Coturnix japonica: one gene and its partners. The protein of the gene in region 1 interacts with the protein of each later gene in a biochemical or structural test. Links are inferred from orthologs where the notes say so. Each region holds a gene or a part of one and is shown on either strand. Other genes may lie near its edges. The genes, in order: ERBIN, KCNA4, ACVR2A, plasma membrane calcium-transporting ATPase 4, ARVCF, PKP4 and ABCA1.

What was found.
Region 2: the proteins of ERBIN (region 1) and KCNA4 interact in a test that uses a peptide from one of them, tested with the Homo sapiens proteins (3 studies listed by BioGRID and IntAct, with this or other methods). The link is inferred for Coturnix japonica from reciprocal best matches to the Homo sapiens genes ERBIN and KCNA4.
Region 3: the proteins of ERBIN (region 1) and ACVR2A interact in a test that uses a peptide from one of them, tested with the Homo sapiens proteins (2 studies listed by BioGRID and IntAct). The link is inferred for Coturnix japonica from reciprocal best matches to the Homo sapiens genes ERBIN and ACVR2A.
Region 4: the proteins of ERBIN (region 1) and plasma membrane calcium-transporting ATPase 4 interact in a test that uses a peptide from one of them, tested with the Homo sapiens proteins (2 studies listed by BioGRID and IntAct). The link is inferred for Coturnix japonica from reciprocal best matches to the Homo sapiens genes ERBIN and ATP2B4.
Region 5: the proteins of ERBIN (region 1) and ARVCF interact in a test that uses a peptide from one of them, tested with the Homo sapiens proteins (3 studies listed by BioGRID and IntAct, with this or other methods). The link is inferred for Coturnix japonica from reciprocal best matches to the Homo sapiens genes ERBIN and ARVCF.
Region 6: the proteins of ERBIN (region 1) and PKP4 form a complex in vitro, tested with the Homo sapiens proteins (4 studies listed by BioGRID and IntAct, with this or other methods). The link is inferred for Coturnix japonica from reciprocal best matches to the Homo sapiens genes ERBIN and PKP4.
Region 7: the proteins of ERBIN (region 1) and ABCA1 interact in a test that uses a peptide from one of them, tested with the Homo sapiens proteins (2 studies listed by BioGRID and IntAct). The link is inferred for Coturnix japonica from reciprocal best matches to the Homo sapiens genes ERBIN and ABCA1.

Annotation. Positions count from the first base shown.
Region 1 is NC_029547.1:14,171,919-14,175,418, forward strand, and holds part of ERBIN (erbin), read right to left. Parts: intron 3,488-3,500; coding exon 3,372-3,487; intron 2,515-3,371; coding exon 2,445-2,514; intron 1,449-2,444; coding exon 1,349-1,448; intron 1,172-1,348; coding exon 1,050-1,171; intron 542-1,049; coding exon 371-541; intron 1-370. UniProt on the Homo sapiens protein: Acts as an adapter for the receptor ERBB2, in epithelia. By binding the unphosphorylated 'Tyr-1248' of receptor ERBB2, it may contribute to stabilize this unphosphorylated state.
Region 2 is NC_029520.1:5,299,640-5,303,139, reverse strand, and holds part of KCNA4 (potassium voltage-gated channel subfamily A member 4), read right to left. Parts: coding exon 2,123-3,500; 3' UTR 1-2,122. UniProt on the Homo sapiens protein: Voltage-gated potassium channel that mediates transmembrane potassium transport in excitable membranes. Forms tetrameric potassium-selective channels through which potassium ions pass in accordance with their electrochemical gradient.
Region 3 is NC_029522.1:31,390,548-31,394,662, reverse strand, and holds the start of ACVR2A (activin receptor type-2A), read left to right. Parts: upstream 1-1,315; 5' UTR 1,316-2,632; coding exon 2,633-2,687; intron 2,688-4,115. UniProt on the Homo sapiens protein: On ligand binding, forms a receptor complex consisting of two type II and two type I transmembrane serine/threonine kinases.
Region 4 is NC_029541.1:4,896,788-4,900,287, reverse strand, and holds part of plasma membrane calcium-transporting ATPase 4, read right to left. Parts: intron 3,320-3,500; coding exon 3,284-3,319; intron 1,812-3,283; coding exon 1,650-1,811; intron 1,542-1,649; coding exon 1,327-1,541; intron 1,240-1,326; coding exon 997-1,239; intron 873-996; coding exon 631-872; intron 302-630; coding exon 67-301; intron 1-66. UniProt on the Homo sapiens protein: Calcium/calmodulin-regulated and magnesium-dependent enzyme that catalyzes the hydrolysis of ATP coupled with the transport of calcium out of the cell. By regulating sperm cell calcium homeostasis, may play a role in sperm motility.
Region 5 is NC_029530.1:988,908-992,869, forward strand, and holds the start of ARVCF (armadillo repeat protein deleted in velo-cardio-facial syndrome), read right to left. Parts: upstream 2,801-3,962; 5' UTR 2,420-2,800; exon of another isoform or gene 2,354-2,419; intron 2,194-2,353; exon of another isoform or gene 2,048-2,193; intron 1-2,047. UniProt on the Homo sapiens protein: Contributes to the regulation of alternative splicing of pre-mRNAs.
Region 6 is NC_029522.1:33,189,955-33,193,985, reverse strand, and holds the start of PKP4 (plakophilin-4), read right to left. Parts: upstream 2,801-4,031; 5' UTR 2,666-2,800; intron 1-2,665. Other genes in the region: CCDC148 (coiled-coil domain-containing protein 148), read left to right, coding at 2,944-2,986. UniProt on the Homo sapiens protein: Plays a role as a regulator of Rho activity during cytokinesis. May play a role in junctional plaques.
Region 7 is NC_029547.1:48,638,351-48,641,850, forward strand, and holds part of ABCA1 (phospholipid-transporting ATPase ABCA1), read right to left. Parts: intron 3,051-3,500; coding exon 2,919-3,050; intron 2,411-2,918; coding exon 2,271-2,410; intron 926-2,270; coding exon 788-925; intron 244-787; coding exon 23-243; intron 1-22. UniProt on the Homo sapiens protein: Catalyzes the translocation of specific phospholipids from the cytoplasmic to the extracellular/lumenal leaflet of membrane coupled to the hydrolysis of ATP.

The DNA of each region.
Region 1 (3,500 bases):
TTAAGAGGGAAATCTCTACTACAAAGCAGGTAACTATTGCAGACTTCTTCACAGTGAGGGTACAGAACACTGGAATGGACTGCCCACAGGGGCTGCAGGGTTTCCTTCTTCACTGACATTCAAAACCCGCCTGGAGGCGTTCCTGTGTGACCTGGTCTAGGTGTTCCTGCTCCAGCAGGGGGATTAGGTCTACAAGATCTTTCAAGGTCTCTTCCAATCCCTGACATTCTGTGATTCTTAAGGCGACAAAGAGGTAAGCCCTGCTCTTTAATGTGGAGCATTAATGAGGAGAGAGAAGACTAAAAAGAATCAATGGCAATCTAGACATTTGGAAGTTTCAGTGAAGTCAGAAGATAGTATTACACCTAACCTTTACCCCCACATCTTTTACAGAAACTGTCTGGCTTTCTCGTTTTGATTCCTTGGCAACATCTTCAGTAGACTCTTCATCCTTTAGCCTGTGTACAATTGTCTGGACTGTTTTGACCATATTCTTCAGCTCATCAGGATATGGAGTTGGATATCTCTTCAGATTGCCTTCCTGTGTTATAAAAAAGTAATAATCTAATTTTAATTAAACGCTTTAATTAAAGTACCAAGCTTTAAAATAGACAATGGATTCAAACAAAACATTCAGACCAACACCTAGAATCTCCATTTTGCAGTTTGAGTCTACCTAGATTAACACAATTTTAGAAAACCCAGCAAAATTACAAATCAATTATTTTTGCTTCATATTTGTCTGTTGATAACAAGCAGGAAGAGTAATGACAACTATAATATATCTAAATAAAAATCAGAATTAACCATTATTTCTCAACTATCCCTCTCCTGAAGCAGCACCAGTCCAGCAATTTCATAATTATATGCTCCATTTTAATGATGAGGAAAAAAAAATAGTCCAGTTTTATGCTCGTAAGCTAATAAATGAAGTTTTGATTTCTTCATCAGAGCTAAACCCACAGTCAAAGGAATAAAAAGGATGGGAGTCAGGTGTGCAATTGGGAAAAAGAGAGAGAGAAAAACCATGGTAAAAAATAAATACTAACCCGAGGTGGTGCCTCTCTCTCATCTTTGTCTTCATCACACTCAAATGCCACCTGAGCACGTTGTTTCCTCTGTTCTTCCCACAAAGATGGATTGAAGCTTTCATTGTCAGATATAAACATAACTAGAGAAAAAAAAACAGGCACATTTAAGAACAGCATGCATTACACAAAACAAAGCTCCTCTTTTACTTCTTTTTCTTAGGTGGATTTTTTTGTTTTGTTTTGTTTTTTGTTTTTTAAATTTATGCTTGAAAAGGAAACAAATTAACAATGCTGTAAGCTGAAAAAGAAATCCTTACCATCCTCAGTCCTTGGTTGCTGGGGGAACATGTAATTTGTAAGCACAGTTTTCTGTGTGTCAGGGTCAGCTTCTTTTTGAAGGGGGATAAGTGGTTTAGACTAAGAAGGAAATCAAAGAAGGACACATTAAGAAAATATCTGTATGTACAAAGTAAAGATTATCTACACATAACTTATAGAATGCAAGGCAGAGCAGTCTTCAATCATTTACCCTCTGAATAATTTTCAGAGAATGAAGTTATTAATATATGTCAGTAAACGACTGTCTTGGGAATGGAAAGAACAACTTCAAGAGAATAAACTGAATATTTAAAAAAAAAGCAACTATTTTTGCTAGGACTTATTACTGTCTCAAACCAAGCTGTTCTGGGATGCACAGATATACTTTGTCATTTACACCTATGGACAGCCAAATAAATAAATAAATAAATAAAATATTTAATGTAAGTGTGTGTATATATATACACACACACACACACATATATAATGTGTGTGTGTGTGTATATATATATATACATATATATATTATATATATATTAAATATATATAAAATATTGATATCAGACTGATAACTCCCACTCCTTATAAATCTTCCACTATACCACACTTGAGATCCATGAATTTCTGGAATCCCTGTAAGCCTTAGTGCCATTCAGGAAATTGGTAGAGTACAAAGGAATTAAAGAAGGCACGAGCGCACAAGTTACTTCTCAATAACTTGAAACATGGACAGCCATGAAGTTCAAAGGTAAGGCAAGCAACCTACCACAAAAAAGGTTATCCAAATTTTCTATAATGGCAGAACGATACCATATGCGTGTAAGCACTAACAAATTATCAAATACCACCTTTCTGGTTTTAAGAAATAACAAATTAGAAATTCCAACATCTGCTAAATTGTATTTCATATAAAAGCTTTGCCAGAGAAGCTCTAAAGGATATTAAACCCAATATTGTTTATTTTGAGAGAATGGACAAAATGTCAAGGAAGTACTTATGCACATACAAAGCACTCAAAATTCAAAAGATCACATATTGATTCAATTAGGAATAAAGTCAACCATTTTTTATAATTTTTCTCCCAGAAAATTTCACCTGATTGTCCGATAGCCACATAGCAGTGAGCTGCTGCAGTTTTGTAAAGGTAAACGGCAAATTCTTCAGCCTGCAAATTACAATAAAAGTTCATGAAAACACACTTTTCAATACTACAACTTGACAGTAGAATGGCATTCTGTTTTTTAGATACGCATTCCTGCCTATTCCAGCAAGCAGCTTAAAAGACAGTGGAAACTGAATTTATCTCATGTCAACAACCTGAACACAATTTTTAAGACAGCCATTAGCACTGTATATAAATCAGCTACTGAACTTAAGATCAAGACTGTTTATTTTATTAGAAGAATCCTCAGCAATTTTATTGCTATACGTGTATATTCAATATACACGTGCACTAAAATTAAGAAAAATTAAGAAAAAAGGGTCACAACTAAAATTGTGGGGTTTTTTTGTTTTTGAATAAAATGTGAATAAAATCAGGCTTAGGGTAGAGTACAAAGGAACTGGATTTGTTTAAAAAAAAAAAAAAAAGGGAGGGGGGAGAATTTAAATTTATCTCTCCCAATACATTTGAATTCTGCAAATTGATGAATTCAAAAAGGCCTATTTTGCCAGTTTTTATTGACCAGCTTTAATTAAAAACATGTCCTTCCTCTTTCTTGCCCAGCACATGTGTTTTATCACATACTGTGACACTTCTGTTCTCTGTCCCCTACATGCAATACAGGAAGCTATTTACTTAAATCATCAAACATATGCCTAATTCAAAGGAACAGTTTCATAAAATCGATAAACAGTAAATGAAATACATGCATTTCAGTCAGATTATAAGCTGTGGGATATAACGAAAGGTAGCACAGCACGTTCAGAAAAATGCCGCTACTTACATCTGGGTGACAGATATCAGTTACACTGAAGTACACTCAATGCTATTGCATTTTACATGATTTTTACTTGAATTACCTATTGTCACTCAGGTTGATGACCTTCAATTTCTGCATGTCACCCATTTCTTCTGGGAGAAACTCAAGCTTATTTGAATGCAAAAACAATACCGTTACGTGCTTCCAATTTCCAATCTGCAAAAAAAAA
Region 2 (3,500 bases), on another chromosome or scaffold:
TTCACATTATCATATTAAAAAGTAGCCTTGTTTAATGCTTCACAGAAGAAATAAGAGTTGAAGCCTCCTCTACAATTTAAAATTATGAACTGGATATTTATACACAAGTTTTAAATCAGGGCTCAGTACAGTGCAGTCTTCTCAGAGCTTATTTATATATTTACTATGACTTCTGCAGTGCAATAGTAGGCAAGCAGAGAAAATTTTCCAAAATTTGATTCACAGAAAATCCATAAAGGCCAAAAACTCAATCATTAAGTAAAATCCTTTGGCTATGGCTCTGTTCTGTATCACTGGATGCTGGAGACAGCAAACAATGCCTTTCTGGTAGATGATGCATATCATCACAGCTACTCAATTTGGACAGGTTTTATTTCTGCTTTTCAGCACCAGAACTATAAATCACTGAATAGTTCTCTCCAGCAAACTCCCTCCTCACCTTTAAAGGAATATCACAAAACCACTGTAATTCAGTAGTGTTTGTAAGCACTCTTCTGTCTCACAACGTCCTGTCCCAGCCCTTAAAGTACATATGCCAATTTGGTTCAAGTTTTATAATTTGGAATGTTTCACAGTGCCTCAAAAACAGCTCCAATTACCTCCCTAGGTAATTATGCGTCTGAAAAACACCTGTTCTGAATCTATTATTTATGTTAAATGCAGGAATATCTTAGCTATTTAATTCTGGAGTCTGGAATGTGCTGTAGGTCAGGTAATCTTTACCTACCTTAATCTCCTATAAAGGGCAGTGGACATTTTTGACACAAACATACAGCTGGTCAAAGAATAAGTGAAAAGAATTCATGGAATGTTCTCCCAAGGACTACAAAGGACCCAACACAATCATTTTGAATCCCTAAATTCCTGTTTCAGATCCAAAATTTTGCTTGAAAGGTGGAAGCTGTAACTGAGGAAAATGTAGCACCAATAACATGTTAACTGTTAGTAATTCTGAATTGCTAGTACTGTAACAACTGAGTATCCTATTACTTTTACTTCTTGTCCCTATACATTGAGTTACTTCAATACTGGTAAGTGCATGTACTAAACATTAACTCTCAAAGTTAAATTAACATGGCAAAAATATGAACATGGAGTTAATCTTAATTGAGAACATCACTAGAAAACACTGATTTCAAATAATTTTGATTATAAAATTTTACTTCACAATCCTTTTCCAGATCACAGATATTCATAATGAAAAGAGTATGGAATTAATGTAATGTTAGCCATTTTGCCATCAGCATCACATAAAGGAAAAACAAAATTAAAATAAACAAACCAGAAAAAAAAGCCATAAAATATGATGCAGATCACTCTTCCAATGATTGTCATTGAACTATTACATTAGTAAACATTCACAGTATGAAGTCTCTTTCAATATAACTCCAGCATATAAAGTAGTGCAAAAAAGCATTCCAGTCATTTTGCCTTTGCAGTCAGACCAGGCTAAACAATTCTCTTACTTCATTTCTTTCATTATTAGACAACAAATGCTGCAATGCCTCCAAAGAGAGTTATAAAAATAAATCATTTCTGGAGGTTCAGCAGCCTTCTCAAAGAAAATTTCCAGTTAAAAACAAGCATTATAGGTTCCAAGAAAAAAAAAGAAAAAAAATTAGATCTATCTTCTGTAGAATATCTTTATACAATAAATTTACCATTTGAAAAACAAAGACTATGGTATCCAATGATTCATGGTAGCTGCTATTAAAGCACTGATAAATAGATAAATGATTTCCAAAGTTCATTGCTTCTTACATAGTAAATACCTCTGAATGCCAACTTTTACCACAGAGCTGTTAGCAGTGATGTCGAACAGTTCATGCACTGACTTTAAAACTGACTTGGTTTCAATAAATTTTTCAGCCTCGTGTGCAAAACACTTGCATTCTAGAAAAAAAATACAGTCTGAAGTTATATCAGATCTAGCAACCCCTTCCTCGAGTTATATCGCTTACTTGATATGTTCTACAAGTTTAACAATGCTTTTTTATTTGTGTTTAACCATTAAAATGGCATACTACTGTATGCTGTGGACTCGTTTGCATATTTCATTATTTCCACCGCACTCTTTAATGCATAAATATATTTGGAGACATAAAATAAATATATTTGTAAATTACACATCAGTTTCCACTGAATTTGAATTTACACAGTTTTTCTTCTCTGACTCACTACTATTCCCCGTGTCCTGACTTTTTTTCTCCTTTACACAAAGAGATTCTTTAACTCCTTCTTCCATCTCCAAATACTCTGATTTATCCTCTGTGGATGAAGATGACGAGCTTCTAAATTTCTTCAGTAAATTTGTTGGGAGGTAAGGGCAACTGACTGCATTTTGCATCAGCTGCGTTTGTTCTTCATTCTCAGTCTCTCTGTGATAGAAATAGTTAAAATTGGAGACAATCACTGGCACTGGTAAAGCAATGGTTAACACTCCCGCGATGGCACACAGGGACCCCACGATCTTGCCACCAATTGTCATGGGGTACATGTCCCCATAGCCCACAGTGGTCATGGTCACCACAGCCCACCAGAAAGCATCAGGGATGCTTGAGAAATGAGACTCAGGGTCATCAGCCTCAGCAAAGTAAACAGCACTGGAAAACAAAATTACTCCAATAAAAAGGAAAAAAATGAGGAGGCCGAGTTCCCTCATGCTTGCTCTGAGTGTGTGACCCAGGATCTGCAAACCCTTGGAGTGCCTGGAAAGCTTGAAGATGCGAAACACTCTGACCAGACGGATGATCCTCAGGATGGCAAAAGACATGGCCTGTTGACCATTACTGCCCTGCTCCTGAGCCAACTCAGTGCCCAGGGTGATGAAGTAGGGGATGATGGCCACAATGTCAATGATGTTCATGATGTTCTTGAGGAAATCTGCCTTGCTGGGGCAAGCAAAGAAACGCACCAGCAGCTCAAAGGAGAACCAGATGATGCACAGTGTCTCTACAACGAAAAAAGGGTCAGTGAAGATGGTGTGCTCCCCAGCATCCAAGTGAAGCGACTCATTGGAAAGACCCTTCCCTGAGCTCAGGGACATTATGAATTCTTTGTCATCTCTGAACTCCGGCAAAGTCTCCAAGCAAAAGATGACGATGGAGATCAAGATCACCAAGACAGAGACAATGGCGATGCCTCTGGCTGGACTGGAGCTCTCAGGGTACTCAAAGAGGAGCCAGACCTGGCGCTGAAACTCATTCTCTGGCAAAGCTTTGTCCTCTTCCTCTTTGACAAACCCTTCATCTTCCCTAAACTTGAGCATGGCTTCCTCCCCAAGTTGGTAGAATTTCACCTCCTCACTGAAGATATCAAAGGGTACGTTGACTGGCCTCTTCAGCCGACCACCACTCTGGTAGTAGTACAGTATGGCATCAAAACTGGGCCGGTTCCTATCAAAGAAGTATTCATTTCTGAGAGGGTCAAAGTATCTGCCTCGCTTTGCTGGATCACCCAACAGTGTCTCTGGGAACTGAGCCAATGTCTTCAGTTGTGTT
Region 3 (4,115 bases), on another chromosome or scaffold:
TGTTACACAGGTGGCATATTTGTGCTATTATATCTATCTATCTATATATATAAACACATACAATGGCAATATTTTTAGCTGTAATTTCCTGCTCATGTGGCAACACGACAAGCATCCCGAAGAAGCTGAGCAAAGTGAAAACGCAACCTGCAGAACAGGTCACGTTTAAATACTCTGCTATTGAAGAATATTAAAAGCTACAGATTAAGTAGGAGTGTTGTAATGCATTAATTAATGCTTGTAAATCATCCTGAAATGCCTGGATTAAAAAAAATGGCATAAAAAGTGTTGCCACACATCCCGGTGCTTCATGATGCGCACGATCCCATACGGCTTGTTTGATTTTGGGGTATTTTTCCAATCAAAAACGTCACTGGAGGATGACTTTGTGTTGGTGTTTGAAGTGAGGATCATAGAATCATTAAGGTTAACAAAGAGCTCTGAGATCCCCATGTGGACCCACCCCCCATGCCCACATCCAGGGCACATCCATGGGATGGTAACCCCCACCCGGTGCAGCTGTGCAGTGCCTGGCTGCTCTCTGGAGAACAAATGGCTCCTCGTATCTACTCTGAACCTCCTCCAGCACAACTTGAGGCCATTACCCAGCCTTGACTTACGTTTGGTGGCCCTGCCAGGCAGAGGGGTTGGAACTACATGATCCTTGAGGTCCCTTCCAACCCGGGTCATTCTGTGATTGACTTGCAAACCCACACATGTGAATTACCTCGCACACAGCACCCAATGTAGCACCACGTAACGACAGCTCCCCACCAAGGGAACTTGGACCGTAACCCTCCAATGCACATCTATAGTTAGTGATGTAGTTATTGAGAACTTGGTGCTTCTTGCTTCAGAAATACAGAAGTTAAATCCCAGCGCTGAGGCCTTTGTGCTTCCCCACATCAGTCCTCAACACCTAAACAAGCATTTCTTTATCCCTGATGCAAACTATGGGCATCTATTAAAGCCACCAACGGGGCATTAAATAAAGGAGGGCTTCCCACCGCAGTCGTTACACAGAGCAGCTCTGAGGGCGGCGCGAGCACCACGCCCTGAGGCGGGAAGGCGGGGCGCGTGCACGCAGCCCGCTCGCGCGCCTCCTCAGCCGTGCGCGCGCACACGCGGGCAGGTGGGAGGGGAGGGGAGGGGGGAGCGCGCCCCGCCCCCTCGGGGTGGGTCTGGAGGGGGGCGGGGCCGAGCGGCGCTCCTCGCGCTGTGATTGGGCGGCGCGGCTGTCAATCCGATGCGGCGCGCTCTCGCACGGCGTGTCTTGCCGGGCTGCCGTGAGTGTGGAGGGGAGGGGGGGGAGGGGGAGGAGGAGAGGAAACAAAAACAATCGGCCGGGCGCCGCCATCTTGGGTCCGTTCTCCACGCCACACAAGTGAATGGGTAGATATGAAATTACCACAGGGGAGCAGCGGCAGCAGCAGGGTACGGAGGGTCGTTCCGAGCTGCAGGTTGGACTTGGGAGACTTTAGAGACGGCTCCAACCACCAGCACCGCCCGCAGATCGAAACCGGGCTCGGCCTTTTCTCCTCGGCAACCCTCAAACCGCACTGCTGGAGGGACAAAGTTGGTGTCCGCCGCTCTGACAACGGCAAAAGGGAGACGGGAGAGACCAGCCGAGATCCGAGCGGGACGGGAGTGAGGCGGGAGGAGAGCTAAGGACCGGGAGATAAGGACTGAGGGCTGCGAGCTCAGGGCTGAGGGCTGGGAGCTCAGGGCGGCACGAGGGCTTCTCCTTGTCAGCCCTTCTCCTGTGGGCCCTTCTCCTGTCGGTCCTGCTTCTCTTTTGCGTTTATTTGTTTGTTTTTCCCTCAAAAGCAGCAGACTCGTTGCGGGGCGATGTCCCCGGGGGCTGCCGAGGGAAGGGCCCTGCGGGCGGCCGTGCAGCCCTGAGCGGCCCCGCGGAGCGCAGCCACCGGGAGCCGTGCCTGGCCTTGCCGTTGCTTTGCTCTTTATTTTCTTTATTATTATTTTTTTCCCTTCATTTTGCGTTTAAATACCAAGCCGAGTCTCGGGGGAGCTGGGTGGGTGGGGGGGGCATGGAAGCATCGTAGGGGGAGGAATCGTCGTAGAGGGGGGGAATCGTAAATCGTGTTTCCCGTAGCGGAGCGCTCAGCCCCGCTGCCGCTCGGACTGTCGGAGCGCTGCCCGGAGCCGCCATGGAGCCACCGCGCTGCCCGGAGCCCCGCGCTGCATAACGGGAACCGGGACATAGAGCGGGGAAACACGGAGCTTCATGACGGAGTGAGCGCCGATACACACCGCCTCGGATCGCACCCGGCGGCTCCGCCGTTGACTTCAATCAATCTTCCTTTATTTGCCGTGGATTCGTAGCGTACTTTTGTGAATTAAATCCCGCCGCTCTTGGTCCAGAAGCCAAATGACACGTGTGTTTTGAAACGCCGCTCACAATAGTTCGAGCCCCCCCGAACCCGGATTCTCGCTTTGAAGCGACCGTCGGTCTCCAAACGACCCCGATTTTACTGTTTGGTGAACACTATCAACGGAGAAGTTTGCTCTAGATCGCTTTATAACGGTTCCGCAAGAAGAGGGGATTGTCCGGCTTGCAGGACCGAGAAACTGGATGCTAAAAGTCACTTAAATGTTCTAACGCCATTGGAAAATGGGAGCTGCTACGAAGTTAGCGTTCGCTGTTTTTCTCATCTCGTGTTCTTCAGGTGAGTGCGTGCTTTTGTTGCTTTGGGCTCAGCTGTTGGAAGCACGAGGTGATTGTATCGGTGGGACGAGAGGTCATTTCTTGAGATGAGGTTTAGGTTGGATACCAGGAGGAAGTTTTTCCCCCAGAGGGTGGTGATGCACTGGAATAGTTTCCCCAAGGAGGCTGTGGATGCCCCATCCCTGCAGGCATTCAAGGCCAGGCTGGATGTGGCTCTGGGCAGCCTGGGCTGCTGGTTGGTGACCCTGCACACAGCAGGGGGTTGGAGCTGGGTCAGTTTGTGGTCCTTTTCTATCCAGGCCGTTCAGTGAGTCTATGAAATGCCAAACGTTTGGGGATGGCAGTGAAAGATTCCTGTTCTCACTGTCATTCCCCGGTGCACAACTCTTTCAGGTACGTGCAGTGCTCATAGTGCTCGTGTGGGTCCCACCCGGGGCTGTGCCCACCTCGTTCACTTGTGGGCAGTTCCCGGCCTCGTGTTTGCTCCAGTGGATTATTTACCAAGCTGTGAAATATTCCGAACTTAATTTAGGGCTCTGGAAGCGTCCAGCGGTGGATGGCAACCTTCATTAATGCTTCATTAGTTCGGAATAATTGCTGTTGTGAAAGCATGAGCTCATCCCGCACCGATAGCGAGGGCTGAGCACGTATCGGTGCGTGCACCGAAACAGCCCGAAAAGCCAGACTTTCCATTTCCGAACAGTGATTTGTGTTCAGCTGTTGGGTTTCGTGTTTTGCCGTTCGGTTTTTCACTTTCTTAGCGCCTGAAACCCGGCGGTCGTGCTGTGGCTCTCAGACCTCAGAGACGAGCGGTGTGAGAGGCTCCATCCTTTGGGCTGGGAGGGAAATGGTGATGGAGCAACCGGTGGCTGGAGAGCTGCTGCCACCAGCTGCACCTGAAACCTGCAGAGCTGTGTAACACTCGATGTGTTGCTCGTGTGCTGAGCCTGACCCTTCCTGCTCACGTGCTGAATGTGTGTGCAGCCCTCTGTGTGTGTGTCGATGCACTTTTGGGCTCTGTTCTGTGCAGTGCAGGGACACACTTGTTGCTCATCCTGAAGGCCGGCTGGCTTTGTGCGGGACTGCTCCAGGGCGGTAATGAGATCTGCAGAGCGATGATGCCTTTGAAAACTTCAGCCTTAGGATGCGAGGGATTTTGCTGAACGGCACATTTTCTTGTGGTTAGTAAATGGATAGTCTAGTCTTGTGTCTGTAGTGTTATTGATCAGTTCCGTGTGGGCTAAATGTGCTGTGAAATGGCGATCTCTGCCAGGGAGAAACTGAAAAAAACCCTTTCTGTTTTAAGCAGACAAATAGCAGGGCAGGTTAGGGAGAGATGGGAGTGGTTTTTTGGGTTATTTTTCTTCAGATTAGAGTACGCCATTTATTCCTATTGCGAAACAGCAGGCGATTTCTTGCAGTGATTTTG
Region 4 (3,500 bases), on another chromosome or scaffold:
AGAGGCTCCTGGACCAGGAGCACAGCTGGGTGATGGGCTGTCAGAGCCACATGGGGGCCACAGTACCTCTGGCCGCACAGGGTCCTCTATCCCCACCACAGCAATGCACGTCAGGTCAGACAGGATCTCATTCTCACTGTCCCAGTCAGGCTCAGTGTCAGCAGGGAAGTCACGGAAGGCCAGGCAGATGGTCCGCAGCCCATGGCAAGCCATAGGCTCAATCACCTTCTTCACCATCTCATCTCGATCCTTCACTTTGAACATCCGGGGGTCACCATTCTTGTCCAGAATCTTGGTGCACCTACCACAGGACAGGACAGGAGAGTAAGGGAGACTGCTTGTGGCTGTTCAGCAGTCCCCTCCTTCCACCACCCAGTTTCCCCCATCTGTAAAATGAGTACCTCTCACCCAGTACCCCTATAGCCTTACTAGAGACACCCTAAAAAGAGCTAACACTTTGCACAGCAGCACTTCCTGATGCTCACACTTTCTTTCCCCCCTCCTCAAGCACTGGGTCCCCTTCACCCTGCAATCCCCCAGAACAGCTCAACACCGCTCTGAGAGCTCAAAGTCCATGGGGCAGGTGGGTTGGGGAGAGGACTCAGCGTGGAGGGGGGGGACGACAGTTACTTGCGGAGGATGATCTCAGAGGCTCCCTTGCTGTACATGCGGAAGCTGTTGTCACTGTTCTTGAGTACTGTGCTCATGGACTTGCGCACAGAGTTGAAGGTATAGACTTTGTACAGCTTCTCCTCTGGCACCTCATTCCGCACAGCCTGATAATCCTGCTTCAGGTCCAGCACAAAGCCCAGCAAGGCACACTCTGTCTTGTTCCCCACTTGCCGGGGTAGCCCCCCTTCCTTCTCTGGTGGCTGGAGGAAAAAGGGAAAGGAAAAGAAATGTCAAACCTGGGCACTGCAGAACACAGTGGGATGGAAGCAGTAGCGATGGCCAACAGTGGGAACGTAAGGCTGTGGTTCTCAAGAGCCAACTCACCAGGATCTTGGATGTGTAGGCAGAGTTGATGGCAACACCATTGACAATGAGGTCCAGGACCTTGGGCAAGATGGCTTCAGGGTCAGGAATCTGGCGATAGTGGGTGTCCCCCACGTAGGCCTGCACCACAGTCATTCGGTTCATTGTGAGCGTGCCGGTCTTGTCTGAGCAGATGGCAGTGGCATTACCCATGGTCTCACAAGCATCCAAGTGCCTCACAAGGTTGTTGTCCTTCATCATTTTCTGCAGCATGACCAGGAAGGTTAAAGCCAAAAGCCTGAACATTCCCATCACACTTCTCCACACCCACCATGCCCCTACTGGTCTCACCTTCACTGAGTAGGCCAGGGAGATGGTGACTGCCAGTGGGAGCCCTTCAGGCACAGCCACTACCAGCACGGTGACACCGATGATGAAGAACTTGACAAAGTACTGGATGTAGATGGGGGTGCATTCTGCCAGCCAGGGCCGACGCTGTACCCCAAAGGTGTCGATGACAAAGTACAGCACCAAGATGATCACCGTGATGGCTGACATAATCAACCCTGGGAGAGGATGCCAAGCAGCAAGTGAGGGGACACAGGGATGGCAAGCAGGGATCAGCCCCCTCCCACTGTCCCACCTCCAGTGAGACACCCGGGGTGATGGCTCACCTGCCTTCCCAATCTGGACTGCAAGGCGCGTCAGCTTCCCTTGGAGCACAGACTTCTCCTTCTTGGGCACCTTCACTTTCTTCTTCTCCTTCTCCTCATTTTCCACCCCTTCCTGGCTCTTCAAGGGTTGGATCTCTAAGGCCACACCATCCTGAGTTTTAGCTACAGCCCCAGGGCAAAATAAGACACCACGTGTGAGTAGGAGAGAGACCAGGGAGATCTGCAGGACACCACTGAGAAATACGGTGGTGGGAAAGAGAGAAAACCCAGAGCACAAACCATCCTCCATGACACACATATCCGAGCACATGGAAATCTCTTGTCCTGGGGCCCTGTTGCCTCTCTATGGGGCAGTCTTTACATCTACCCCATGCCCCAGCCCCATGCAGGAAGGGTCCTGGGGCTGACGCTGGCTATGGGTCACAGAAGTGCTGCCAGAGATCCCTAACCTGGCTGCCGGGCACAGGCAGGACATCTCCAACCTCTCCCCAGCTGCTTCACACCCTGCAGCACAAGAAAAGCATGCTGGGTTTGCCCCAAAGCAGCTCCAGTGCACCAGCAGACCCCACCCCAGCTACAACACAGTGGGTCAAGCTTGTAGAGGACTTCTCTCTGCTCTGTACCCCTCTTCTGCGGTTTAATGCCCTTTTTAAAGCCCTTCTGGAGGCTCAGCAGGAATCCATTACATATAAGAGCACTGGAGAGGTGAGATGGAGGAGAACAGTTAAGACATTCCAAAGGAGTTGAAAGAGGAGTGAACCAGCTCCTACAATCCCAGCCCCAAGCTGTCCATTATGTTCTTAGGACCCAAAAAGGCCAGGCTTCCGTAGCCCAGCTCCATGGCCTCCCCTCAGCTAAAAAATCCCAGCTGGGTTGGGCGGCATGGGGTGGGATGGTGGAGCAAAGGCTGAGATCTGCTGGGCTGGGGGAGCAGCAAAACCACCCCACAGCAGCCCCAGGACCCATCCCCTCCTGGCAGCCACTGCTCAATGGTCAGAGACAGCCCCAGGCTGCCCTGACACCTCCACAGTTACAACAACACGGACAAAACAAGCACCCAGACACATCTGGCAGGAAGGAGGGCAAAACTGCTGAGAGGAAAGAAAGAGAGAGGGGGGTGGAGAGAGAGGTGCAGAAATGGGCTTCCTCCACAGCCTGCAAAGAACAGGGTGAGAAACACCGGCGAGGAGACGCTCACGGAGTCGAGGCCATGGGAGGAGAGGGTGCAACCACCACACAGGCCGGGTCTCACAGGAGATTTATCCCAGGAGGATGTGACCTGTGCCTCTTGCCCCACCATGCCAAAATACACACCCTGCAGGAAAGCAGCACAAATGCTTCAGAGCCACTAGGTCATGTCAATAGGGACTTGCTTTGCACCAAGGGATGCTGTGCCAGCAGTCTGAACTGCCAGGAATAGGCTTGTCTTCCCTTCCCAAAGACTGCGCCCCAAGCAGAGGCCATGGGGCATTGATCCCATTGTGCCGGAGCTGTGGGACCATTGCACCCTCTCCCAGGAAAACGAGGCGAGAGTCCCGCCAGAGTAGCAAAGAGCACAGACTCATGAGAAGAAGGAAGGAGGAATGCTTTGTAGTTAGTGTGGTGCTGGTTCAAAGGATGGAGAGGCTGGTTACCTTTGTTGCGATTTTCAGGGGCTCCGGTTTTTTTACCTGTTCAAAGAGAGAAAGGGTGCAGGGCTGAGCACACAGACCAGACAGAGGGATAGGAAGGGTCAGCCCTCCTCCAAGGGGCTACACATACTGCTCCAGCAGCACCTCTGCTGTGGGCTCACTGTCATCAGGCACTGAATGCGGGACCCCAGACAGCTCACCTCACCTGCCAGAGGCAATC
Region 5 (3,962 bases), on another chromosome or scaffold:
TAAAGACTAAAGCTAAACGTCATCTCACACTTGGCTGCTTCAGCATTTGTTTACAGCGTTTGTTCCAGAGCTTCATACTCACATCATAAAATATTCAGAGCAACAAATTATGAACCTGGTGCCACAAGAGCTCTGAGCAGCTTTCCCTCACAACGCATCAATTCTGACAATGCCAAAAACCCACCAAAAACGCTGCAGAAGTCATGTGCTGTATTGCATAAAAGCACATAGAGCAGCTTAGTTTTATATAACTAACATGCATGCAGATGGGCTGCATGGTAAGACACCTACTCTAAACTGCAGTTTGTACAAAATATGTTTGCACAAAGTACACGGCAGGAATTGTGCCCTTTCTATGCAACATCCTGACTGAATACAATGGCAATGTCTCTCCCTTCACAACTGTTACCGGTTCTTCCCATATTAAAGAAGTTCAGAGACTAAAAGCTGCTGCAGGGATTTTAAATGAACAGATGAGAATCAAGCTTAACATTTTAACTGAGAGCTATATTAAAAACAACTGCATGTCACTAACTAGTTTGATATTTGCCCTAGGTGAAAAATTGTCATGAATCCCAGCTAAATACCAGGTCAAATCCAAGGGCAGGTTACATTCATGGAATGCCAGTTACATTGACAGCAACTATGGCCGAGATGGTAAAATCCAAGTCAACTTTGTAAAGATCACACGTCAAATAAAATACATTCTAAGTACCTTTGGACAATACACGAAGATAAACTACGCAGTGAAAGTATGCACTGTGACAGCACTGTTCTGCTAAACCTTGCGCTCCTCATACATTCCTTTAGCCAAGCAAAGGGAAGATAAACCCATTTGCCTAATGGAGCGTGTAATTTAAATATTTTAGACAAGCATTTACAGAGAGGTTGCTTAAAATAAATGGAGCAGCCGTCCATCCATCCAAGCAGTCTGTGTGATGGAAGGCACTGCAGAGTTCACAACTTATTTTTCCGGAGCTACGCAGCCCTTTCAGTTACTCCAAGCGCTGGGTATGCCCTGCTTTACTGAGGACAACAAAACAGCCCTTCCCAAGCAGATTTAACGTGAAGCTGCAGTTGTCTCTGTTGCAGTCACATTCCTGAAGCCACCACAATTTGAGCTGAGTGCTGCCCCACACCACACAGCCTTCCACCAATGTGTAAACAACATATGTTGAGAATTATGGATCCTGAAAGGAGCGATGTACTTAATGCAGCCTGCAGCACTTCATCGCGGGAGGTACAGGGAGCAATGCCACAACTCCATCATGGAGATCACGATTCTTACTATCAGGATTCTCAGTAATGCAAGCAGTGCTGTTAGGCACAGAAACTCGCACCCGGCACTACCAGCATCAGCAGGTCAGCACTTGACTGAAATTTATCAGCCAAGGATTTTATTATATACTGGGAATCTCACGCTGTACTGTGAGCTGCCTAAGGCACAGCAGTGCAATGCAAAGGGCGTATAGGAATTACCCCTTCCACATGCACAAAGAAGCGCGTACATCTAAAAAACAAAAGGATAACGGCAGCCCTTACTATGGGTATGAGTGAAGTGAGCATGTTACCGAGCTGTGCCCAAGTTCTGCAAGCATTAGATTTCAATCATGTAGTGCTGCAGGGAAATGAAAGGAAGGGAAAAGGAGACAGCAAAGAAGGAAAGCACCCAACTTCGGCTCTTAAGTTTGTGGCGGATCTCACGTCTGTGAAGGAACAGATCCGCTCCGTTCGGTCACAGCCATCTCGCCCGCCGCAAACAGCCCGAGCGATGTCACAGCGCTGTGCTGAGGGGCAGCTCAGCCGTGCGGCCGGCAGATGCGCTTTTATCCGTCCGTACACATCAACTCCTCCCCGCGTACCCCGCAATGAAGCGATACACGCCGTTATCAGCCCCAAGCTCCGATCTCCGGCGAACAAAGAAGGCTGAGGCTGCTCCGCGATCGCGGCGCAAAATCCTTCACCAGCCGCGCCGCACCCCGCGCCCCGCTCCGAGCCCAAACACCGCTCCGAGCCCATCCACCGCCCAGCGCCGCCACCCGCTCACCATCTCCTCCGCCTTCTCCCGCTCCTCGGCCCCGGGCTGACGTCGCTGGCTGCCGCCGGCTGCGCGTCGTGTCCGGGAGGCGGCGTACAGGGAAGGGAAAACACCCGGCGCCGTTGAGCGGAGCGCTCGGCAGTAGCCGTGCAGAGCAGCACCGCACCCCGCAGCACAGCACCTCGCAGCACAACACAGCACAGCACAGCACAGCCCCGCAGCACAGCACAGCACAGCGCATCACCCCGCACCGCCGGTCCCGCAGCGCATCCCGCACCGCCCCGCGCGCTCCCCCGGGCCTCGCCTCCTCCTCACCCGGCGCGGCGGCTCGGGAACGTCCTGCCCCCAGCCCGACCCTGGCTACAAAGGGCCCATCTGTACCCGGGGCAGGTGGGAGGGTCCCTCAGCCCTTCTCTCTCGCGTTCCTCCGCCGCGAGGGTTTCGGCTGCCGCGTGCGGCTCGGGCCGGTCCTGCAGCTCCGAGGGCGGCGCTGACTGACAGCCGCATTGAAAACAAGCGACCTGCCGAGCGGAGCGCAGCGCCTCCAGCCGCGGCCCCTCGCGCGGGCCCCGGGCAGCACCGCTACCGCCCGTCAACTCTTTATTCCCTTAATCGGGGCATTATCGTTCCGGCCGCTCACGATGAAGGGGGGACGGCAGCGGCCCCGTCCCTCCCCACAGGCGGCTCTGAGGGGCGGCTCTGAGGGGCGGCCCCGCTCTCGCTCCCCGCTCTGTCCCTCCGCAGCAGCCGCGCGAACCGGCGCGCGCCGCCAGCAGCCGCGAATTTTCCTATTGGCCGCTGCCTCCGCGCTCGCGCTCAGCAACCAGAACCTCATTGGCTCTCTCCGCTCCCCGCCGCAAACCGCATTGGCCAACGGGGCCGTCAGTCAGAGCGGCACGGCACGGCCCGCCCCCTCGGCGGCGGGCGGCGGGAGGTTCCTCAGGGCCGCTCAGCGCACGGAGCTCACACAGCTCGTCCGGTGCGGGGCGAGGGACGGGCTGTGCGCTGTGACGGGCCGTGACGGGCCGGGCCGGGAGCTCGTCCGCTTCCATTGGGCCGGGATGATTTAATGCCGCGTCAGGTGGCTCCGTCACGTGAGCTGCCCGTCCAGCCGGCCCTGAAGGTCCCGTCCCCGCCTACAGATGGGGATGGCGACACGGAGCCGCTGCTCAGTGCTGACAGGATGCTGGAGCTGCGCCCGGTGCGTCCCACGTAACGTATTGCAGCGGGTACGAGGCAGGACAGTTATATCAGACATCAGAGTTATAACAGACATCAGAGTTATAACAGACATCAGAGTTATAACAGACATCAGAGTTATATCAGACATCACGGCCGCTTCTCTTGGTTTCTGTGAGCAGCTCGGAGGCCCCGGACAGTGTCTGAACGGGAATCGCTGCTGGGACGGGGGCACGGAACAAGCCTTGTTGCCGGGCAGCGCTGCCGTCCCTTCTCAGGGCTGTGGGGACGATGCGGGTCGCGCTGTGGCACTGAAGGCAGGGCCGGCTGCCGACCGCCACAGTTCTGCTTTCCAGATGAGAGGTTTCGCCTCAGAGACCACATTGCACACTCGTACACCCCTAGAAGGTCTTTTCTTTCCATTAACGTTTAATCTCTTGTGTATACGGTGTTTATTACTCGTAGAGAAGAGCAATCGCGGCCTTTCCGCCCTTCCTTTGGAGGCATTCCCACATAACACTCCTCATTCACAACTTCCATTCCCGCGGTGGAATCATACACTGTGTGCAGTGAAAGCCGGGCTCACCTGCGCGCCAACCGCCCTCAGCGCCCACCCTGAGGGGCGCGGGATCCAGCCAATGGCGGCTCGAGGAGGAGAGGCGGGGGAGCCGTTGTCCAATAGCGCGCGGGGGGCGGGGCTTCCTCAGGTAATGAGGGCGGGCGTCGCCTGCAGCTCGCTGTGCTG
Region 6 (4,031 bases), on another chromosome or scaffold:
TATCTATGAAGCTTTTGCTTTGCGGATCCAATAGCTAGAGGGTAAATTTTACTCACTGCCCATAATTATTAGCCTATGGTTGCATAAACAGTAACTACATTAAAAATCCCCCCATTGAGCTGCGAAGCAGACAAGTTGCAGCTCGTACATCTTCAAAGGACTTACAACAGATTTCTTTCTTCCCCTTAATATCAAATCACAGAACACGAGGTTAGCTACAGATTTGATTTAAGGCTCACAGAAACTCACCACATTTCAGTTAAAGCACCCAGATAACATCTCATATAAAGAACAGATCCCAGAGCATGGGAGAGAAAAGAGGTTAACTTCAGTTCCTCTTAAATGATGGATCAATCCCCCGCAGAAAGTAATAGCTGGTAGTTTTATTCTGTGTGCTAAAATAAAGGCACAGTTACTCTGATTGAAAAAGCCAATTAGCAGGAGGTTGGCTGGTCTTTGCTTCCCTATGCTTTGCAAATTAAAGGACCAGGGGTGGGAAGAAAGATCCACGAGAGATGACCATGGAGACATTTAGGAGAGAGAACAGTACTTCGCTGTTTTTTCCTTCTGTACCTACAGGAGGTGATAGGAATACTTTATTTAGCTCTTCTGTTCAGAGGGAAGAAAACAATAATAGGGAAAGAGATGCATGCATATCAAAAATATCTGAAAACAACAGAATTGCTTAAAAGCCATCCTGTTTAAAAACACTAAGAGTGGTTTTTCCCAGCCCTCTGACTTTCCCTAACACGCTATTGCCTTCCTTTGCCTGGAACAGAGGGAAGCGACGAGACCTGGGAAGGTAAAGTTGGAAGGAAGGTAAAGTTGGGCCGTGAGCTTCCCTGGGCTCCTGGCAGCCGCAAACCAGCCCGACTGGTTGGAGCCCTGGAGCCGCAGCCCTTCAGCAAGAGCTGAGTCAGACCGAGCTGCACGTCACCCTGCCCAGCCCGGCACATGCCCAAGGTGTGTGTGCCCTGTGCTCCACAAGTGCTGCCAGTTGCCATGGAGAGAACTTCCACCTTAAGCCTCTCCTTTTGGTGATAGTTTCAGGACCTTCGTTATTCAAAATGAAATAAACAAAACAACAACGAAAACATCAATTGACTGAAATTTAAGTGGTTCTTCCCTCTTCCTGAACAGCACGTGGCTGAACGAAATGCAGAAACTAAGGCAATGACTCCTGAAAGTACGAGGAGTTGGAGCCACTGCAGCAGGAGCTGATCACGGAGATGCACCGTGTGTTTTATACATGGCAACAAAACCCCATTTCTGCAGTAACTCTTACAAGACGTTTCCCACCAAACGTTACAGTTCCTGCTGCTGCTCCCAGCTCACCTCCCTGCTGTCCTTCACCCCGGGCACAGCCAGGGCTGCCCTCAGCTCCAGAGCAGCACCAGCACAGCAGGAGACACCGGGCCTCATTGCCCTGGGGCTGCTCTGCTCCATTGACCCTGGGATGAATCTGAGCGAGAAGCTTCTGGTACACACAGGTGCTAACCCGGACACTGATGGAAAATACTAAGAACATAAATAGGAGATGAGAGCAATACAAAATGCAGCTGACATCACAAGGCCCTCCCCTCAAGCACCAAGAGCTACACCTCCGTTCCAGGGCACTTTTCTACGTGGTATCACTGTATTCTGCTAACAAACCCAATTATTGTTCATGCTTGTAACAACAGCCTCTTCCTGCTAACCCCGACCCTGGAACAGGTGCTTTCTTCCAAACAACCAGAGAAACACTTGCAGAAATTGCTCATTTTCAGCACAACCGAAAAAAATAAATCAATGAATAAAGCCCAACAAAACCAAGGCAGCACTCACAAAGCCATTCAAACGTACTGCCAACATCCAGCAGAACCACAGAATGACCCGGGTAGGAAAGGACCTCAAGGATCATGTAGTTCCAACCCCCCTGCCTGGCAGGGCCACCAAATATACACATGTACTAGATCAGGTTGCCCAGGAGACCCCATAGATCCCCATAGAGACCCCATAGATCAGGTTGCCCATGGCCCCGTCCAACCTGGCCTTGCACACCTCCAAGGACGGGGCATCCACAACCTCCCTGTGTAGCCTGTTCCAGTTCCTAACCACTCTCCTAGTGAAGAACTTGCCCCTAACATCCAACCTAAATCTTCCCTCCTTCATCTCGGATCCAACCTCTGTGTGTACACTTTAACAACCACGTGAAGCCGAGCAGGAGTGCAGAGTGCAATTATTAATGCTCCCCATCGGCTGAGCACAGAGCAGCCCCTCCACAACGCCCGGCAATGGCCAAACGAATCTCCCCCATCGAACAGCAAAACGCAACTCTCTCCTTCTTCCCTTGACCTCTAAGGCACAGACACAGCGCGGCACCGTCACGTCAGCCGTACCGCAGAGCAGACCACACCTCGATGGCCAGCCCTGCATCCCGGCGCGGTGCAAAGGTGCGCTGTGCTCACATGCCCGCCGTGCTCACACTCACACACACACACACACACACACACACACAGGGCCGCGTCGCTCCGCCTCAAACGCTGCGGCCTCGGGGCTCCGCGCTGCGACGGACGGAGTCAAGGCGGGGGGCGGCGGAGCTCGGGGCCGCGGCGGCTGGCCCGCCGCGGCCCCGAGCTCCGCCGCCCCCCGCCCAAGGCCCAGCTCCCCCCGCTGTCCCACTCACCGCAGGCGGCGGCGGGCGAGGCCGCCCGTCGGTCCGGTTGGGCCCTAACCCGGGGTCTCCATGGTGGCGGCGGCTGAAGCGCTTGTGGCGCCTCCGCCCGCTCCGCCCGGCCTCGCTCCGCCTCCCGCTGTACGTCACGCTACGCCCCGCCCACCTCTCAACGCCTATTGGTTGTACGGTGCTCAGGACGGCACGGGATTGGTTGAGCGTCGCGATGAGCTCGCCAATGGAGGGGGGAGTTGAGGTTGCTATGGTTAACGATGCTGTGAGGCGGCGCGATGCCGGGTGTTCACCACAGAGAGCCGGGCCGCTCCACGGCCGGTAAGTGTCCGATATTGGAGTATATTAACAAATATAAGTGTATTTCTGAGCATTGCTGTTGAGCATACGGGAGGCACAGGCTATGTAAGGTGGCTCATTGCCATCTCTTGGCCTTTCAGCTTGCTGCTTGCGACCTTCAGCGTTATTTCATTTGAAATTAATCCCATTTATCTTTATTTTAGTTCTGCTGCTGTGTGACCTGCAACATTCTCCCCCAAAAATATCTCTCAGAATCATAGAATTACCAGGGTTGGCAAAGGGCTCCAAGGCCATTTAGACCAAGTGTCCACTACCACCAGTATTTCCCCACTAAATCACATCCTTTAATACAACATCTGAACATTATGGACGTCTCCAAAGGTCAGGGACTCAACCACCCCCCATGGGCAGTATTACAGCACCTGAGCACTCCTTTGGTGAGGAAACTGCTCCTAATGTCCAGCCTGAACTCACCAGAGCTGAGCACAGAGAGACAAACACCTCCTGCTCCTGCTGGCTGCACTATTCCTGATAGCAGCCAGGGTGGCATTGGCCTTCTAAGCCATCAGACTAAGCCATCATTCTAAGCCATCATTCTAAGCCATCATTCCAAGCCATCATTCCAAGCCACCATTCCAAGCCATCATTCCAAGCCATCATTCCAAGCCACCATTCCAAGCCATCATTCCAAGCCATCATTCCAAGCCATCATTCTAAGCCATCATTCTAAGCCATCAGTCTGAGCCATCAGTCTCAGCACTGCAGCAGTGCACAGTGCCCTGCTGACTCACTGAGCCTGTGGTATCATAACCCTTAGACTGGGCCAAAAATTCCAGTTTCCCTTGCTCATTTCCAGTGCTGTATGCTTCTGTGTAGAAGGAACACGCGTGAGGAGCAGTTGGGTTGGATCAGCACAGAGAAGAGGAGCCTGAGGAGTGGCCTTGTGGCAGCCTATGGTGATATGGCAGCTCTATGGTGATAGCAACAGTGCCCAAGGGAACAGCTTGGAGCATGTGGGGGGTCAGGTGGAAGTGAGGGGAAGGCTTTGCTGCAGAGGGCAGTGGAC
Region 7 (3,500 bases), about 34 Mb from region 1:
AACCAGCAGGAGCTCACTGTACCTTCTTTAGATAGGACACTGTGCTGCTGCTGTTTCGACAGGAGCTCAACGAGGAATCTACATCTTTCTTGACAAGGGTCAAGTAATAGCCTGTCCCCAGCTGATTCTTCAGGAAAAGAGAAGAACCAACGCAGCAGAGCTTGCCATGGGAAATGATGGCAATTCGGTCTCCCAGAATGTCTGCCTCATCCATGTGATGGGTGGAGAGGATGATAGTGCGGCCTGGAAGAAAGAAAAGGAAGACACTACAGTATGTCAACTACACTCATGTTTCCAAGCCAAGAAAGGCCATTTCCATCTGGTTTTTGTCATGAAGTTGAATGGGAGGTTTGTTTTCCAAGTTGTAGCTTGTTTGAACAAGGTTAGTTATATGGGAAAGTGTCACAACTGTTGTCACAGGTATACTGTCCCCACCCTTTGCACATCATCATTACACTCAGCTGAAGTAGGTTAACTCAGTATCAGCAATCATGGCTACAATAAAACAGGACAGTGATGCACATAAGGCATGACCTTCTGTCTTTAAGTATCCCGACAATCCAGTGAGTAGCTTTGTTCAGTGAACTCTGACATGAACTGGATGAAAGACGAGGACAGGTGAGAGCAGAATGTGTTTATCCTGCAAGCTTTGTTCCTTTCTCAACACAGGCAACAATGGATTTGCAAAGGCAAACCGCTATTTTGGGAACAGTTGTGAATCAGAGATTGATTTTCTTCTGCTTTTCACAATGTTGTTACATTAGGAGCACAAAAAAAGACCACAAACCTTGTCTATACTTCAGAAGCAGTTCCCATATCCCTCTCCGAGAATAAGGATCCACTCCAGCTGTGGGCTCATCCAGAATGACAACTTTGGATCCACCAACAAAGGCTAAGGCAACTGAGAGCTTCCTCTGCATGCCACCTGAAAGGTACAACAAGAAACAGGGGGTCAGGCTGATGCAAAGAACAGAACAGTGAAAATTGAGCTCTCCAAGAAAAATCAAAATAGAGCACTGAGAAGACTGAGTGCTGATACCGTTTTATGCGTTCAGGGTCTCATCACCTTCAGGACAAAGAATAATTCATCAGGATAGTTTTCCCCAGCAGAGCACAATTCCTCTACAGGAAACCAACAACCCCTCTATAAATGAATCATATGTATCTTAGCATCAGCAGTACCACACACTTTGCTCAGATGCCTAACCAAATTTTGAGGATCTGGAGCAGGTCTGAAAAAGCTTGAGTTGTAGGAACAGGTGCCCAAAGAGATTCCCCTCCAGTGGGAGTGTGTAAGAGGCAGCAGTGACATTATATTTCATATTATGCTCTTCAATGTGAAGCCAACCTTTGACTATCTGCTCTCCTTTACTGAAGCCAAATGTGTTGATAGTTGAGTCAGAGACAAAACAGTCCCAGTCCCCAGATACCTGGCACAGACTGATTCAGGAATCCTGATATTCCTGAAAAGGGGGGAAAGATATCAACTGGGAAAAAAAGCCTATATAAGAAATGCACAGTGTTCACAGTGTTTGGAAGGGATTTTTTTCTAAGGGCAGGTAGCAACAGAATGATGGGAAATTGCTCTAAAGAGGAAGAGGGTAGATCTAGACTAGACATCTGGAAGAAATTCTTTACTGTGAGGGCGGTGGGACACTGGAACAGGCTGCACACAGAAGTTGTGAATGCCCCCTTCCTGGAAGCATTCAAGGCCAGGCTGGATGGAGCTTTGAGCAACCTGGTCTAGCAGGAGCCATCCCTGCCTATAGCAGGGGGGTTGGAACTAGATGATGTTCAAAATCCATTCCAACCCAAACCATTCTGAGATTCTATGATATAGGCGTTAAGTTACTTGAAGGTTAGGGTCTGAGACACCTCCACCTAAACCTGTAAAAACCAAATATTCTAGTTAGCATTTGGAGAATATATGTAACAGGCAGCTATATTATAGGTAAACAGATTCCATGGTGTGAGGGAATGCCCCCTGTCAAGATGGAAACAAGTACAGAATGCTCAGAAAAAGTGACTGCTTTTTTTTTTTTTTTTTTACAGTATTAGATAACATAAATACTATAAGATTGTTAAGTTTACTAACATTTATTATGATTAGGTACTTAATATATAACTAGTTTTTTCAATGTGTGGCAGCCTACGTATCTGACCAGAGGATCCAATCAAAATCTGTGATGTAGCCTCCGTCAGGCCCTCACTGATACAGCCTTTCTGAAGCTGAGGGAGCTGCTGACAAATATAAAAGCTGATGAACCTACCAGAGAGTTTGCTCGTCCTGGCTTTCAGTTTGTGAGGCAAACCAACGTCCATTGCCATCTGCTCCATTTCCTCTTTTACCTTCTTTTCTGGCAACCCTTTGAGCCTAGCATAGAACCAGATGTGTTCTTCCACAGTCAGCCTAGGGAACAAGAGCAAATTCAGGGCACAGATGTGAGCTGGAATTCATCCTTGCATTAGCACTACACAAAGCATATTTGTTTGCCTAGGTAAACAACTTTAATCCTGAGTTTTTAGAAAGCAGCTACAGATCGGGTGTGCTCAGTTACGGCTTGATTTCAGAATGTTGCTATTCAGCACCACGGCAAATAATACTCCTTTTAAAGGGCTCAATAAAGTAACCAGAACATCCCAATTCAGTGGGCAGTGTTAAGCCATTTAGCCAAGTTACATTCAATGTAGCGGATTTCTCTGAAGAGAGGAGAAAGATGAGACTGCATGCTCAAGTCAATAATTCATAGTCACATATGAACCCACTAATAATCACAACACTCTTATACCAATCTCACACCACCCTGCTGTCTGCCACAGCTAAAGATATAGCTGTCTTAGCTCATGTAACACTAGTGTTTCCTAAGGAACCCAAACTTTCAATAGCACCAGCCCCGCATATGATGGATGTTACTCACAAGTCAAACAGCACGTTGTGTTGTGGACAGACACCCAAGTTTTGCCTGATGGTGCTGAGCTCTGAGCGGATATCTTTACCCAGGATGAAGGCAGTACCAGAAGTAGGAGGAAATAAGCCAGTCAAGATGGACCTGAAGAACAAAGACAACAGATTCCAGCACTAAGAAGTGGCTGCTGTACGTGATACGATGGATGAGTGAAGAGTGAGTGAAAGCTTTTGGGAGCTCCCAAATTAGGGAAGCAGTCCAAGAGATGCATATTACTAATGGATGAAAAATTGGCTCCAGTGGTTTTAATGCAGTGATCAAAGCACACCCGCATGGTGGTGCTTGAAGGAAATACATTTTTCTCTAAAAGCTTCCCATCCTTTCAAGCTCAGTTCATTTCCTTTCACTGATAAGTCAGAATCACAAATGAGATTACTAAAAAATGCTGCCAGGAGATGCATTCAGGCACAGCATCAATCTGAATGACCTTCCCCATTTCAGTTCTCTGTATCTGTGCATCTTCTAAACAGTTGCACAATTGGAGTAAGTCAGCAAAGCTCCTCTGAAATCAGCGAAGCACCATCAGTGGATCTC